Caenorhabditis elegans: one gene and its partner. The protein of the gene in region 1 purifies or fractionates together with the protein of each later gene. This does not show direct contact. Each region holds a gene or a part of one and is shown on either strand. Other genes may lie near its edges. The genes, in order: ref-1 and tra-1.

What was found.
Region 2: the proteins of ref-1 (region 1) and tra-1 purify together in Caenorhabditis elegans (affinity purification with western blotting, with the first as the bait; one study listed by BioGRID). This does not show direct contact.

The regions. Positions count from the first base shown.
Region 1 is NC_003280.10:10,216,950-10,220,829, reverse strand, and holds ref-1 (Regulator of fusion ref-1), read right to left. Parts: upstream 2,360-3,880; 5' UTR 2,358-2,359; coding exon 2,215-2,357; intron 2,161-2,214; coding exon 1,705-2,160; intron 1,655-1,704; coding exon 1,492-1,654; intron 1,436-1,491; coding exon 1,094-1,435; 3' UTR 804-1,093; downstream 1-803. UniProt on the Caenorhabditis elegans protein: Probable transcription factor. Binds 5'-TGCCACGTGTCCA-3' in vitro, probably via the E-box motif 5'-CA[TC][AG]TG-3'.
Region 2 is NC_003281.10:11,192,046-11,196,882, reverse strand, and holds the start of tra-1 (Sex-determining transformer protein 1), read left to right. Parts: upstream 1-1,681; 5' UTR 1,682-1,819; coding exon 1,820-1,840; intron 1,841-1,922; coding exon 1,923-2,018; intron 2,019-3,780; coding exon 3,781-3,841; intron 3,842-4,837. UniProt on the Caenorhabditis elegans protein: Plays a major role in controlling sexual phenotype. Terminal global regulator in a well-characterized cascade of sex-determining genes. Promotes female development. Interacts with tra-2 to promote spermatogenesis.

The DNA of each region.
Region 1 (3,880 bases):
CCGAACACACTTTTTCTCTGGGTTTCCGCATTAAAAAAGTTTTACGCACTTTTGATTTGTAAATGTCAACTTACTAAACTAAAGTACAAATATTTATAAGTAAGATGCGAAAAGTTTCGGGAAAAAATTGTGGCAAAAATTGAGTTTCCAGCATCAGTGCATTTTTATACAAAACTTTTCTGGAAAATATTGCATGAGAAAAGATGACAAAGGAAGTTTGTATCGGGGGCACACCAGGCTAAAATGTACTGTTTCTAAATACTGAACGGCCAAATAATCGGCGAGATGACAATTCGCAGGAAACAACAGAGAAACCTCAAAGATCGGCAATTCTTATTTGAACTTTTGAGGAATTCGAAAATATTTGTTTATCACAAAAAAGGTTTACATTTCAAACTCAGCTTTAAATTCAAAATGCATTCACTTTAATGGAGATTTTTAATGCTTCAGGGTGTTTAGGGTTAGATTATCATCCGGAAGCCATTTCGAAAAATGTTATATGTTGAAAAAAATCTGCAAAATGTTCAACATGTTTTTTTCAAAAGGCATCAACTTTACAAAGAAAAAAATAGCTAGGTTACATTCGGAAGTTCAATTTAGAGCGGAAATACTTTCCTTGTGGATTTAAACCCTCTGAATTAGAAGTATCATTGTATTAACCATTTCCCACTAAAACACTAATTAGTCGTCTGTCTGGAACAAGGTGGTGGGAGAATAAAAACTGTCACATCATTCTATCGAGACACGTGGCAATGAGCAACCAATTGCCATGGGAAACAAGGTACCAGAATACAACACTATAATAGAGATAATAAATACTTTATTCTGCAGTCATTTAATCTTCAAAATCACTGAAAATCGGAAAATTCAATATAAATATTATGAATACTGAGGGAAAACAACAATTAAGGATTTATAAAACCTACCGGTAAGCTTAATAGCCCGTGACAATAAAACTAGATTTTGGTTGTGAGATGATAATGATATGATAAGTTGAAAAAGTCGATAACATTTTGAGGTTGATAAATTATTAATAAGAATATATACTTTTAACACTAAATTACAATTAAAGGAGATATATTTTTTAGAAAAGTTATTCCCATGGTCTGAACAGCTTACTCTTTCTTGAAGCTTTAGGATTGGAATTCGAGTTCTCATTTGGAGTGGATGGTGTTTCGATTGATGACGAAGAAGTATCGGATGATGGTGGTGGAGAATCCAGTGAATATGATGGAGACTGTTGAGATTTTGGACTTGTTGCCATTGGTGCCATTGGCATTGGGAAGAATGGGAATGGCCGGAATGGGAAGATTGGGAATGATGGTGGTGGAATTGGGATGGGCATGGATGGGAATCCAAAGAGTGGCTTTGGTGATAAGGAGAATTCGAAGAACTTTTCAAGGTCTGCGCATCGGACAACGAGGTGACGGTCGCTCTGAAAATATATTGATAACATTTAAAAAAATCTTCTCGAAGTTCCTGACAACTCACCTTGAAAAATTGGAAGGCAATGTTTTTTGCAGTCTTCTTTCCCTCTGCAATTGCATGTGCATAGAGTGACTGCTCCTGGTCGCTTCGACTAACAAAATTGTGCTTCTTGTTTTGAATGTAGGCAATTATGATATCCAGGGTGTTCAAGCGTTGCATTTTTTCGCTGAAAAAAGGAAAAGTTTAATTTATGGTATTGGGAAAATTTAAGCTTACACTTGATGAGATGTCATGAGCTTGTTCTCAATGATAAAGTTCTTCAAAGCATCAAAAGCTTCTCCCTGACGATCTCTTCTATCTTGCTCTCTATTCTTTTTCACTTCCTTTCTATCAATTGTGATTCCAGATTCCGATGTCGATGGAGAGCTTGACTGGGATCTATAGCTCATTGAAGAGTGGAGAATTTCCGACTCAGATCTTCTCTTTGATTTTCCAGATACAGTGCTCAGCAAAGATGAACGTTCTCGATCGAAAAACTGCTTGGCACGTTGCACAAAATCCTGACAGACATCTGAATTGACGCCCAGGGATTTGATGAAGGAATAAGTGAGCGACTCGATTGATCGGAATCCGTCAAAGAATCCTTTGCGATTTGGATTTGATGATGGTCCAGGTGATTCGGTTTCCATGCGACTGACCACTTCGACTGCACGGTTTAAGACATCACCTTGGCTGAAAATTAGTAAGATTTGAATGAAGATAACACTAAACGAATAGAAAACTCACGTCATTTTCTCATTATCCGATTCATTTTGAATCAATAGTTGAAGCTCCTTGATCTTTGCATTAATCTCATCTCGTCGTTTCTTCTCCTGTGATGTTTTTCTGTTATGAGCGTAAGCTGGTGGTGGGGTACTGATGAGGACCATTTCTGGAAAAAAAATTAAGTTTTTATTGATTTTTATAGCTCGATTTGTAAATGAACAAAATCAAGAAGGGAGAAATGTTGCGGAATTTGAGAAATATAGAGAAAGAGAAGGAGATATAGAGAAAAGTCATAAACCATTCGGAAGAGGGAGCGTGGCGATTTACAGTACCCCTCACTTCTACAGCACGCCTTCTTTTTCTAGATTAGAATCTTATTCGTAGAAATTTAATTGCCTTAAACCCTAAAAACCCACTTTTTGTGTCGTTTCGCCAAAAAAAATTATATCCCAATGGTTCCCATCACTATCAACCACAAAAGACGTGCCGAGTTATCAGTGTGGGAATCATTTGATAAGTGTGCATGGGAAAAAAGCACTTGAGTCATGACACAGTTTCCCACAACTCTTGACCATATTGGTTTGATAACCCCTGGTGAGAGGCGACACTGTGAAGAGCCGGGCGGATGCTCAGGCGGTACTAATCCTTTAATGGAGAGCTAGGGGTCCGACAAGGTGAGAAAAGGAAGTGAAACGGCAGACCGGAAGAACATGAAAGAAGTTGGTAAACAAGAGGGATCTACAGGCAGTAAAATGCATGGGGAGGTGTTAGAGTTTCAGATGTACTGTACTTGAGGTGAAAATTTGGAAGACTGATAGTGAGGTGAGACATAGAGAATTCGGGGGAAGAATGTTAAAATGAAGTGAGAATTGGTTAATTTAAGGAAAACTAGAAATTGGAAGCGCTACAGTAGCAATACTATTTCTGGTGAGGTAGAACTATGTTGCTACTGTAGCTGAAACTCTTAACCATAGCTATAGACTACTGTAGATTTGCTACTGTAAGACTCTAAAGAATTTAGGGCAAAAAATAATTAGGAATGTATACTAAATACACTTCTCAAAATCTCAAAACAGCTAAAGTAAATACTGGAACTAAAAAACAAACAAAAAAATGAGAAGAAGATGTATGAATGAAAGTAAATTCTGATAGCCCCCACTTGTTGACTAATTGCAACCGGACGCGTCTAGAGGCGGGGACCGTCTCGTTGGATGTGCATAGGCCACGCCTCCTTTGGCTGGCAGGCAACCATGGGAAAGGTGCAGGGAGAGAGGGGTATAACGGAAGTGGTGGGAATATAGGGGCACGTGAAGATGAGAGAACTAGTGAGACTGTGGGAAGATATAGGTTAGAGAGTTGAATTTTGATAGATGATAATGATATGAGTTCTTTTAAATTTGAATACGTTGGCAATTATTGGAAGACAAAAATAGGTACTTGCGTAGTGAATGTACCCTAAAAATTTCCTACATTAAAAAAAAATATTCAAGGTTGCATCGACAAACATTTTATACTTACGATCTACAAACTCAACGTAACAAAGTTGGTTTCATTTAAGTTCTAGGAGATCAACTTTTACAGAGATCAAAATAGTAGAATGTTTTGTTTTCTACGGTAGGGCCTGCGCACGCTCTATGACATGGTTAGAACTTTATTCAAGTCTGTAAGGCTTGTTTTTTCAGAACAC
Region 2 (4,837 bases), on another chromosome or scaffold:
GTTTGCCGGATATCAATTTGCCGAAAATTTTTAGACAGATTTTTTATAAGACGGAAACTCGTAAGACTGTGCCTTTTTGAATTTTTTTCCCGTTTTCTTTAGATATTTTCATAGAGTTTGCTTACAATTTTCAAAAAATTTCCGGCAAATCGAAAAAATTGCCGATTTGCAGGAATTTCTCATATCCGGCAATTGCCGATTTGCCGGATATCAATTTGCCGGAAACTCTTAAAACTGTGCCTTTTTGAAGTTTTTCCCCGTTTTCTTTAGATATTTTCATAGAATTTGCTCAAAAAATTTCCGGCAAATCGAAAAAATTGCCGGTTTGCCGATTTGCCGGAATTTTCATTTTGCAAAATGCCAATTGGCCGTTTGCCGATAAAAAATTGTTTTCCGCCCACACCTGATTTGAATGTTAAAAGCGGAAAAATATCACACAAACGCGATTATTAGCGATTTTTTTCCGCGAGAAATACGGTACTCGGTCTTGGCACGAAAATTTTTTTCTTGAATGCCAAAAGGTTTTGCGCCTTTAAGAATTACTGTACTTTGAAACTTTCGTTGTTCCGGTATTTATTATCAATTTTTGAAAATGTATTATTTATTTATTTAAAAACTAACAATAAACACTGGGCAAAAAAAAAACTCCAAAAAAAAATGAAACTACCGTATTCTTTAAAGGCGCACACCTTTTTGCATTAAATTTCAAAATTTGGCGAATAATAAAAAAAACTACAGTCGCCTCAAAGAAAATTTAGAATATTTTCGCAACATTTTTTTCCATTTTTAGACGAAATTTACTCGAAAATTCCAGAGTTTTTCAAAAAATCCCAATTTCGCCTTCCTACCGTAGTCCAGCGCGGGAATTCAAAATTCTCACGTTCCACCGGTCTCCCTTATCAATATATATCATCCTCCCAATCACTTTCACTGGTTACTTTTTCAATTTCCCTTTTTTTGCGAATTTCCGTTCGCGAAAACGAAAAAATTCCAAAAAAAAAGACCGGTGGCTATAGATACAGTACTATTCCCCCTCTTCTCAACATTTTTATTTTTTTCTTACTTTTTCTCGGCGCTGGCGCCTAGTGCCCGCGGTGGTTTTGAGACTTATTATCAGTTTTTTATCAGTTACGCCACCAATGTACGGCGTCTCTCTGTCTCGTATGCTATTTTCGCATCGCCAAGGGGGTTAGATGTTCTTCTCTCCTATGTATATGTGCTATCAGTCGAGTACTGAAAATTGTGCACGGTTTTTCAAAAAAAAAAACCACCCAAGCCTTGACTCCTTTTTTGTCGTTGTTTTTTCTGGAAAACTCAAAATATTTGTTCTCCATGTTTTTAGCGGGTCTCACCACGATCGTGCCGAGACCCACCCGACAATTAATTTCTCTGCGCCGTTATTTGAAAATTTTTGGCTCCAAACTTTCAAATTGAAAAAGTCATGTATTTTTATATTTAACAGTTCCCAATTTTTTACTGATTTTCACTGAAAAATTGGCGAATTCTCATTCAAAAAGTTTTTAAAATTAATCGAGCCTTACTGTAGTTTTAAAGGAACATGCAGTAATTCTTGCGATGGGTCTCACCACGAACTCTATTCTTTGAATTTTAAATTTAAATTTAAAGATTTTCTTCTCATTTTTCTGCCTAATATCCTTCAAATCTATTGATTTTTTTTGCAGAGAATGTGCCAGGAGGCTCGCCACGTCATCTTCTAAATAATCAACACTATTTGGAGCATCAAGAGCCCCCGCGTCAAGCAATTTTCAACGCAACTCTCCAAATTCAACAGGAAATCAAAAACAACGAAAACGGCGGCATGATGGCCCCCAGTACTGAGGTTAATTCGAGGAATTTTGAATTAAAAAACTAATTTTTACAATTTTCACATTAAAAATTCGTTAAAAATCAATTCTCTCCAGGATCCCGATACGGTTGTCGAGGCTCAACGTCGTGGAAGCTTCTCGAAGAAAAAGAATGCAAATGGGTGGAATAAGGTGGAGCTTGTCGATCAGTGTGTAAGTTTGTGAAGCTGAAAAAAAAATCCATAAAAATCGAACATTTCTAGCGAAATCCCGGTATCTCTACCGCAAAATTCGTAGATTTTTGGAAAAATGCACATTTTTCAGACAAAAACTTTTCGAAAAAGCAGATTTATCACAAAAATTTGAGAAAAATCGAATTTTCACGTACCAGGAGTGGTTTTCCGGAAAAATTCACCGAAATTCGCTTAAAATTGAACTGAAAACGTCCGAAATTTCAATTTTTTGTTGATTTTCCCACTTTTTAAGCTTTTTTTTCAAACCTAACTGTATTTTAAAAATTTAGCCTTATTCAGAATTAAATCAGAATTAAAGAATTAAATTCAAACTTAAAAATTTTAAAAATTCGAGTTTGACAACATGTTGAGCTTGAAAATCGCAGTTTTAGGCTTAGGCTTTTAGGCTTATAATTAGGCTTAGGCTTATGCTTAAGCTCAGGCTTAGGCTTAGGCTTAGGCTTGGGCTTTTAGGCTTAAACTTAGATTCAGGATTAGGCTTTTAGGCATAGGTTTAAGCTTAACCTTAAGCTTAGGCTCAGGCTTAAACATAGGCTTAAGCTGAGGCTTAGTCTCAGCCTAAGGCTTAGGCTTAGGCGACGGATTAGGCTTAGGCTTAGGCTTTAGCATAGGCTTAGGCCTAGGCTCAGGCTCCGGGGAAGAGAAATTCCTAGAAATTCCTTTAAAAAACCCAGGAAAAACGACAAAAATCTGAAAAAAATGGGGCTTTCTGTAGTCGGGTCAAAAAAATGCATGTCTAGGCGTCTAATTTCAAAAACACTTCCAAAATATTATTTCCGGCAATTCCGGCAAGTACCCCGCACCCCTGAATCAGGCCTGCCGGTTTTTTTTTTCAAATTTTGCTCATTTTGCTCAAAAAAAAAACAGACCGAAAATTGAACATTTTTTCGGCGGCACCCCGGACCTTTTTTCTGCGGTCCTATAAAAACACGTGGTGCCAGACTGTCCCATCACGTTTTGTTGATCTACGAAATTGCGGGAATTTTTTGCCCAAAAAAATAACACGTTCTTAACCATGCAAAATCAGTTTAAAAGTGTGCGTCTCTTTTCCCGCATTTTTTGTAGATCAACGTAGATCAAGCCGAAATGAGACACTCTTACAGCACTTGTAAAAATATAAAAATCGATTTTCCCTCGAAAATCGCCAAATTTTCCCGCCAAAAACTTGTCGATTTTCTCGTCTCTGGGTTGTCCAACCGTGAGAATTTATATTTTTCTTCTTCTTCTTCTCAATTTTCTCAGCTCTACATGTTTCTCATTTCCTTTTTCGGGTTCATATCACCACCGTTACCTCGTCTAGACCGCCCGAATATTTCTGCTCCTCTGATCATCGAACACTGCTCCGCCACTACTTTTTTTTCGCTGGGCGCTGTTGCTGCTCCTGCCACGTCGTTTTTTTTTTCCGCTCGACTGATAAGGAGTTGTTCTATCCAAAATTCGAGAGACAGAGAATTCCGATAAAAATACATACATATTATTTTGAAGTTCTCGTGCACTTTTGCTCTTACACTGGCACCGCCGAGCACACCCCCGCCGCGGTTGATGAGGAGGTCAGAAAAGTATAATTTGGGTCTTAGCACGCCCTGAAAATGCAAAAAAATATGGATTTTTTCAGTCAGAAGCTCATTTTTTAGGGGATTTTATCTAGAAATTCCCTAAAATTTTGGGCCCTTTCTGGATTTTCTCATGAATTTTTTAAATCAATTTTTACAATTTTCCAGGCCAAGCAAATGGGTTCGGAGGACAAACAACCTGGTGGTGGCGACGTGAAAACCGAAAATGGTACGGGAAATCGCGCTCCGTTGAGAATGACCGCGCGATTCGGCGGCAATTTGAATAGTTTTAACGAAAAAAAATGCGGAAGAAATTCGCATTAGAGCGCATTTGCACCCACATTTTTTCTTTGAAAATCGCCCGATGGAGTCGGATGGACCACCCGTTTTCAGCTTTTCTAGAGAAATTATTCAGTTTTAGACCAAAAAATTCCACAGAAAATAGAAAATTCCACAATTTATAAATATACATTTATTAGAAAAAATTTTTGAATTTAAAAAAACGGGCGATTTTCGACTCTAGACACCGCCTTTTTTCAAAAATTTTTGTAATTTTTGGGCAAAAATGGCTCGGCAAACCGAATTAAAAAATTTCCGGCAAATTGGAAAATTGCCGGAATTTAAAATTTCCGGCAAATCAGCGAGTTGCTGAAATTTGAAATTTCCGGAAAATCGGAAATTGAAATTTCCTGCAAATTGGAAAGTTGCCGGAATTTAAAATTTCCGGCAGATCGACAAATTGGCAGAATTTGGAATTTCCGGCAATTCGGCAAATCGCCAGAATTTGGAATTTCCGGCAATTCGGCAAATCGCCAGAATTTGGAGTTTCCGGCAAATCGGAAAATTGCCGAAAGTTGAAATTTCCGGCAAATTTGCGGAATTGAGGATTTCAGGCAAATCGGGTGAAATTGGCAGAGTTGAACATTTCCGGCAAATCGGCAGAATTTGGAATTTCCGGCAATTCGGCAAATCGCCAGAATTTGGAATTTCCGGCAATTCGGCAAATCGCCAGAATTTGGAATTTCCGGCAAATCGGAAAATTGCCGAAAGTTGAAATTTCCGGCAAATTGGCGGAATTGAGGATTTCAGGCAAATCGGGTGAAATTGGCAGAGTTGAACATTTCCGGCAAATCGGAAAATTGCCGGAATTTAAAAATTTCCGGCAAATCAGAAAATTGCCGGAATTCGAAATTTCCGGCAAATCGGAAAATTGCCGGAAGTTGAA